2 linked regions of the Caenorhabditis elegans genome follow. The protein of the gene in region 2 interacts with the protein of the main gene of each other region in a pairwise test. Each region holds a gene or a part of one and is shown on either strand. Other genes may lie near its edges.

What was found.
Region 1: the proteins of stha-3 (region 2) and prx-14 interact in a two-hybrid assay, tested with the Caenorhabditis elegans proteins (one large-scale study listed by BioGRID).

Annotation. Positions count from the first base shown.
Region 1 is NC_003282.8:11,180,927-11,184,858, forward strand, and holds prx-14 (Peroxisomal membrane protein PEX14), read left to right. Parts: upstream 1-2,205; 5' UTR 2,206-2,218; coding exon 2,219-2,475; intron 2,476-2,522; coding exon 2,523-2,805; intron 2,806-2,856; coding exon 2,857-3,093; 3' UTR 3,094-3,369; downstream 3,370-3,932. Other genes in the region: cpt-2 (Calponin-homology (CH) domain-containing protein), read left to right, coding at 43-187, 234-310, 358-778, 831-1,197, 1,807-1,890; nuaf-3 (NADH dehydrogenase [ubiquinone] 1 alpha subcomplex assembly factor 3), read left to right, coding at 3,370-3,475.
Region 2 is NC_003284.9:11,881,539-11,885,144, forward strand, and holds stha-3 (Conserved secreted protein), read right to left. Parts: upstream 1,380-3,606; 5' UTR 1,345-1,379; coding exon 1,285-1,344; intron 1,186-1,284; coding exon 1,083-1,185; intron 1,033-1,082; coding exon 978-1,032; intron 935-977; coding exon 655-934; 3' UTR 606-654; downstream 1-605. Other genes in the region: ule-5 (Uterine Lumin Expressed/locailized), read left to right, coding at 1,615-1,889, 2,124-2,306, 2,354-2,441; Y62H9A.7 (ORF12), read right to left, coding at 2,792-2,947.

The sequences.
Region 1 (3,932 bases), on a different chromosome or scaffold from region 2:
GTTCTTGTAGATTTATAATGGTGCTAAAATATAAAAACCTAGGATCCCTAACGTCGTTGGATCGTGACTCGTGGGCTGAAGCTCGAGTGGAACTCGAAAACGCAGGAAATGGAGAATATTTGAAGAAAATTGATGGTGGACTTTTCGCAATTTGTCTTGATGACCTCAAAACTGAAGAACATAAAAGGTAATTTTAATGAAATAATTTTCAAACCAAAGTTTTGAATTCTCAGACTCGTCCAATCTCTTCTCATCGGAGATGATGCTCGTAATCGTTGGTTTGACAAGTGCTTCCAGACTATCATCGATGGTAATTTTCACAGAACTTTATTAAAAATCATATTTTTTCAATTTTAGCCAACGGTCAAGCCACAATCAACTTTGAACACTCGTGGGGAGATGGAGTTGCCGTGCTTCGTTTAATGGAAGAATCATTCAAGGATACCAACAAAAATCATTTTGTATCTCCAGACGACACTCCAAAATCTCATAATCCAGCACATGTGCAGGCACTCGAATTCAAGCTCACGGATTCTCTCAAATCTAAAATCAGTGATGCTCAGAAGAAACACGTCTCTGCAAATTCTGATCTTGATTTTGCGACAATGGAATTCGAAGGACTCAACAGAGATTTGATCAAGAAAACTAAATTGTCACCGGATTCTGTGATGCAGCTTGCTATTCAAATGGCATTCTATTCTTTGTACAAAGAGTTTGTTCCAACGTATGAGTCATGTTCCACTGCTGCTTTCTTGAAGGGAAGAACTGAATGCATGAGGTAAGCTTATTCCTCAGAATTAAAATATCAAGTTTCAAAACTCAATTTTCATATCGGCAACATCAGCTACGCGTGCCGCCACCTTGGCTATTCTTGAAGAAAATCGTAAAGATGTTCGACAACTATTGACTGATTGCTCCACACAACATTTCCAACTTGTAAAAGAAGCATCAATGGGACAAGGATATGATCGACATTTGCTCGGCCTCAAAATCACAGCTCAACGATTGAGCCAACCAACTCCAGATTTCTTCCAAGATCCAGGATACACGAGAATGGGTCATTTTGTACTTTCAACGAGCACTTTGTCAACGGATACGATTGTCTTCGGAGGATTCGGACCAGTTGTGCAAGATGGATTCGGTATTGGATACAACGTTGTTCCCAACAAACTCGGAGCCGTTATTTCGAGCAATAAGGTTCGTGATTTCTCTATTACCCAGACGCTAAATTTTATACTTTTTGCGTCAAAATTACGGTAGTGGTCTCGACGCGACCTTTTTTTTGTTGCTAAATCCAAACTTTCGTTGCTTCGGAATTTTTTAATCATTTTTTCGATAAGAAATATATGTATATTTAAAAAAAATAAAGCAAAAAAACTGAAAAAAAAAACCAATAAAAACAACAATATGTTGCAACATTGAACACATCGTAAGAAACAAAGAAAAAGTCAATTAAAATTCCAAAGCCTAAGAGCTTTAAAGGCGCACAGCTTTTCGCATTTAATAAAAAAAACTATCTTGTTGATACCCGAAAAATTGTCTAATTTTTTTTTGAAAAAAAAATTAGTCAAAAAATAGAAATATTTAGAAGTTTTTTAAAAGTATATGGAAAAAAAAGAAACTTTTTTAAGAATATAAATATTATCAGATATTATATAAAAATCGAAATAAAACTAAACATCAATAAATTGAGATTAGAAAAATCTTGTTCAGGTACCGTATTTTTGACAAAAAAAACTCGAAAATTTCAGGTTATTATCTTATCTCTTAGAATTTGAAAACATCTTATCTTTATAAAATTTTCAGTCGAAACGTGACGCTGCCGCCTTCTCGAATGCTCTTTACAAGAGTTTGGACATTCTTCGTGGTCACCTTCTCGATCCGAAATAATTGTTTGATGACATTTATGTATTTATAGTGTAAACTACTTATTTATATTCATTTTTCTGTATTTTAGGGTAATTTTTCCTCGCGGTTTCTGCCAGATTTTAACCTAACGAGTATTTTCAGTTTCAAAAAATTCTTGCTTTCACATTGTAAATGTTAATTTTTGTGATAAATTTTTATCAATCGGGAAATCAATGTTTGATTATTTGATTATTCATTGATGGTTTTGTTATCGGTTCAAACCTTTTATTATCGATTTTCACTCATTTTTTAGATTATTCAATTTATTGCCATATGTATTATACTTTTATTTTAAAGCTTCAGGTTGAAAATGACTGACCCATCTAGTTCCCCGATTCGACCGGACATGGTAGAAGCAGCAAGAAAGTTTATGCTAACTCCAAAAGTTAAAGAGACTCCATTTGAAGAACAACGACAGTTTTTATTAGGAAAAGGAGTCAGTGAGGCTGAAATCTTGGAAGCACGAGCATCTATTCCGCCGGAGCAGTTGAGAAGTCAAATTGGAACAGAGAATATGATTCCAATAGGAGGTCATCCGCAAATGATGATTGCTCCAAAACAGAATGGGTTTGTAAATGAAATTATTGATTTCAAAATATCACCGCAAATTTCAGAATAGTATCATTTGCACAATCAGCTGTGGTACTTGGATCGATTTCATATGCTGGATATCGATTCGTCCGATCATATGTTCTGCCCAGATTCTTCGATATTCCTGATCCAGCAACAGAGGAAATTCGTCAACTGCAATCACAAGTCGACGATCTTCAGAATTCAATAAAATTCATAATGGATTCTGTTTCGCAAACAACACAACAGCTTGCAACACAACAATCAGAAATTTCAAGAGCCCTCTACTCAGTTGCTAACAGAGATGCTGATTTGAATCGGGTTGAGGTGAATTCTAGAAGATGGTTTTTGTAATGCTAATATTTCAATAATTTTCAGAGCGGAATTTCCACGATAAAAAGTTTACTTCTCAGTCAACATAATTTTGCTCCAATCGTAACACCTAGTGTTACTTCATCAATTCCATCATGGCAGCAGAGTGCAACTCCAACTTCTGCAACATCAATCACCACAACTACAACTTCTGAAGCAGCTTCCGGATATGCAACTCCTCCAGCCAATTTCAAAGAATCGTCATTAGCTGACGAGTTGGCAGATATTGAAAATATTGAATAGAATTTCAGAAATCTATGTAAATATATAATTAAATTAATCATTTTTAATGCACTCCTCGAAAGCCATTCCCTTTTTCTGTGATTTCTCATCAATTCACTGTGCCTTTTCATTTTTCATGTGCCACATTCCAAAGATTGTTAATTTCATCTGTGATATTACGAAAGAAAATCATATCGACATCTGAACGTTTCATTTCACAAAATGGTTGAGAAACCAGATATAAATTATCAGAATAAAAATGTGTTGCATGAAATAAACATTTGTTATTTAGGCATAATGAACAAATCGTTGATTGCTCTCGGAGCACAGACAGCTCGTCGATTTCTGAGCAGTTCATCAAAAAATACGATAGGAGGAGGAGATGCGAATCGGGCAGACACTGGTAATTTTAGGTTTTTTGACTAATAAAAAATGTATTTATTTAGCATCCGTTACTTTTCGTTTATTCCGTTTTGGATTCGGCAAAAATTTGTAAACACTCGATTTCTGATATTTTTCCAATTCATCAAACCTGCAGTCACGAAGCTATTTATACGGTACTCGGTCTCGACACGAAAACTTTTTTTAATGCAAAAAAGTACACTCCTTTAAATAATGAGTGCTGTAAATTCCCACTCTCATTTCTAAGAATTTTATTCCATTTTTCGTAGGTTTTCTCAAGATTTGTTAAAATTTATGTGTTTTTATTGTAAAATTTAAGTTTTTCATAAATTAATGTGTATATCTTTATAGAAAAACTATGAAAAATTGATAAAAATTCAACATCATGATGATCAACGAAAGTTTGAAACTACAGTAATCTTTAAAGGTGCACACCCTCTTGCACTCAACAAGAATTT
Region 2 (3,606 bases):
AGTTTTTCCATGGAACCAAGTTATGATATTTCTGTTGACTGGACTCCTCTCATAATTGAGGTACCGTTGTACTACATATAAAAGATTTGTTGGCAAATATCAAAAAGCCAACAAATTGCGTGAAATGAGTAGCTTGGTGTGTGTGCAACATAGTGCGAAGAGGTGGTTGTTTGCAAGCGGTCGACACGTTCGGAGGTCCGCGCCTCACTATAAATGCGGCGTGGGTGACGCCGTGAGGCCGTCGCGGCGACCGCATGGGAGCCCTAGTTTATAGAAAAATTTGTAGGACGCGCTTAAGTTTTTAGTTTAAATGAGAAATTTAGAAACTTATAATAAAAAATTATGAATCAACAAACTGCCTAAAATGTATGGCAGTTGCGGTTTTATCGTCAATTTGTCAATTTTCTGGGAATTTTCAGTTTCGGTCATTTAAAATTTTCTTTGCCGCCCACTACTCGAACACATTTTCCTAACAATACAAAAAAAGCTGGAAAAGACAAATATGTTGAATTGTTTATTTTGCTTAACTTAGCTGTCTTTGGTGTTGATTTTTCAATCAAACTCTTTTCGGTGAAATTATCTCACATTCATTCTACACAGGCTCTCGTTGAAGAATTCATTTATTTTTAATGATAAAATAGTATAAAAACTCAATTAAACAGTCAATGATGTTTCAAAAGTACCATGATGACATCCAACACGACGGAACTTTTGCTTGTCACTGTTTGTCATATCGCGGCCGGACCATTTTCCGTGGCGAGAGTATTTAGCAACATATCTCACATTGAGTCCGGCGGCAAGAGCAACAGTTCCATCAATACCAAATGATGGAATTTTTTCATCAGAGTCGGCAAGGATCCATGTGTATTTCTTGTTGTCTGATTGTCGTGGGCAGCTAATTTCTGCATAATAATCTCCTCTATGCTTGTAGTATCTGCAATAGTTATTTAATGAACTGCATATGTTTAGTGATCTACCTGATTCTGGCATCAACGACATTGGTTTTGTGCAAGTCTTTCAGCTTACGGAAATCTTTAAAAAGATACTTATAAAATGCAACTAGCGCACACATTTCAACCAACCTCTTCTGTGTTCCCGAGAATCACTATCCTCATCAGAGTAGATTGGGTAACCACCACCACCGTAAGATGGGCCTGGAGCAGGGTATGATGGGTCAGAGGCGGCCTGAAAACTTATAATACAGCTCTACATTGCTGAATGCATTCTGAAACTTTACTTGAGGCTAGCTCACATGCGGTAGTCATTTTACTTGTAAAAACTCACTCCGTAACCGTCGGCTGCCACCATGGCAATGCACGCAACTGTGAGGATGAGGAAGACCATGATGCTGAATACAAGGTTGTTGAACTGGGTACTCTCTATCTCTTTTATATGCGTTCTTTTTGTTTTTTTTTCCTTTTTTGATTTTCATTCTCAAAACATAAAAAAGTAAAATATGACAAAACCAATCACAACGTCACGACATTGTTGGTGAATCACTTTTTTCTCATTGTCCCGGACAAGATTGAATTTTGAGAAGATAAAAAACAAAAAGTTGTATAAAAAGAAGATGAAATACGGTCAAACTCAACCATCGTCTCATCTTTCCAAAAGATGTATCTTCTTCTGTCACTTGCTCTTGTATGCACCGCTGCCGCTTCCTCCGGTTACGGAATTCCAGCCAATGATGATCCTAGCTACTCACCACCAGCCAACGATAATCCAAGCTATTCTGCACCAGCAAATTCTGATAATCGTTTGTACTACGACTATTCTTCTCGTTCCAGCTCCAGCTCTAGCGACAGCAGTGAAGAAAGAGAGTGCAGAAAATTGAGAGAGTTTGATCTTCCATCGGAATTGAAATCCATCGGCGTTAAAGCTAAATTTTCGTGAGTTTCAGAGTACTCAAATTTTAAATTACCACCGACTTTAAAGCATTTAGTAAGAATTAAAAAAAATGTTCTAAAACTTTAGTATGAATTATTTTTACACAAAAGTTTTCCTTTTTCTTAAATAGAACAATTTGTAATTCAGTCTGTTTTAAATTGAAAATTTTCACCATTTGATATTAGTTCGGCAATTTTCAAGCAGATCACACATTGCCTTAAACAAAACTTTTTCAGTGAAATGGAAAGACGCGGAAAAACCTACACAACAATCTCTTGCCCTAGCAATACCAAAACATATGCAATTATTGCCGACAAATCTGGAAGTAATGTCTCGCAAGGAGACATAACCATCCAAGACGCAGTGCTCTTGGCCACCGGAGTTAACATCGATGTCGTGGGAAGATGCCGTGGTCGCCGGTAACGGGTTTTGTTTTAAAAAATTATAAAAATGTCCCATTTTTCAGTACCACTGTTGTGGCTAACAATGGAGACGAAGTCAAAATCAAAACAGTTGTTTGCGTCGAGTTGTCAACCTCACCAGACAAATACTAATCTCATATATTTCAATATTTCATTTTTGAAATGAAAAATTTTCAGTAAATAACGCTATGTATTAGTTGTTTCTTGACAGTTTTCTTCGATTTGAAAAATCCAGGTTCATTTAAAAAATTCAAAACTTGTTCGATCCGACTCTTTTAATGCTTCTTTTTGAATTAAAGTTTAGATGAAGAGAAGGTTCCAGTTACATTTTGTGAAAAATGGAGTATAAGTACGGAATCAGTACAGGGCTGCCCAAATAACGCCTGATTCTTGCTCAAATTTGTACCTCTTTTCACATGACATTGAGGGTTTAGTTTTTATCAAAAATATGAAGGCCGTTGGAGGCGAAAGCCGAGATACAATTAGAATAATGGGTACAATACTAGATCAGTGTGATTTTGATCAGCGTCGCAGCAGCAGATTGGAGTCACATTCATTTCATCCAAGTTGTACCATGTATCGACATGGTGGCAAGTTGGCAACGGTGTTGATCTCAAGTTATTCCGTTGTTTTTCGTACTGAAAAAAATTTTAAAGTATAAAAAATAGAATGTGCTTACAGTAATAAAAAGGAATTCTAATTTTTTAAATGAAAACCAATGAACGGTGCTAGCCAAACATACTCGAAAAATAAAGTTGTAAGAAATCAGGAGAACAGATAGGAATGTGAACAACATTCTACGTAATAGAGAAGAAACTCCATAGATGCTTCAAGTAAATTTTTGATCAATAGGGTAATTTTTTTAAAGGTGGGGTACCCAAATCTGGGAAATATTTTTAAATGACTCCAAATTTTTCCCTGGTTCCGAAAATCAACATGAAAAAATTCAAAAAAATTTCCCTGATTTTATATTTGAGCTTGAAATCGCGAATTTCATTTGTGCCCCGGCTTCTTTTTTTAAATATGCGCTGAAATAAATTATCCTTGGAGCGCGTTTGCCTCATTTTATTTTCTTCATTTATTTGTACTTTTTCAGTTTTTCAGCTATTTTCATTCATTGTTAGCGTTTTTTATCGTTTTTTTTTAAATATATTCTTTCGTGTCAACTCAGCAATTGCATTTCTTGTACCAGTTTTTGACTAGAAATAAATCATTATCGAAAAATGTTCGAAAGTTTTACTATGAGATTGATCGTTTTGGCACAATATGGTTATAACAATTTTCTAATTGACGCTAC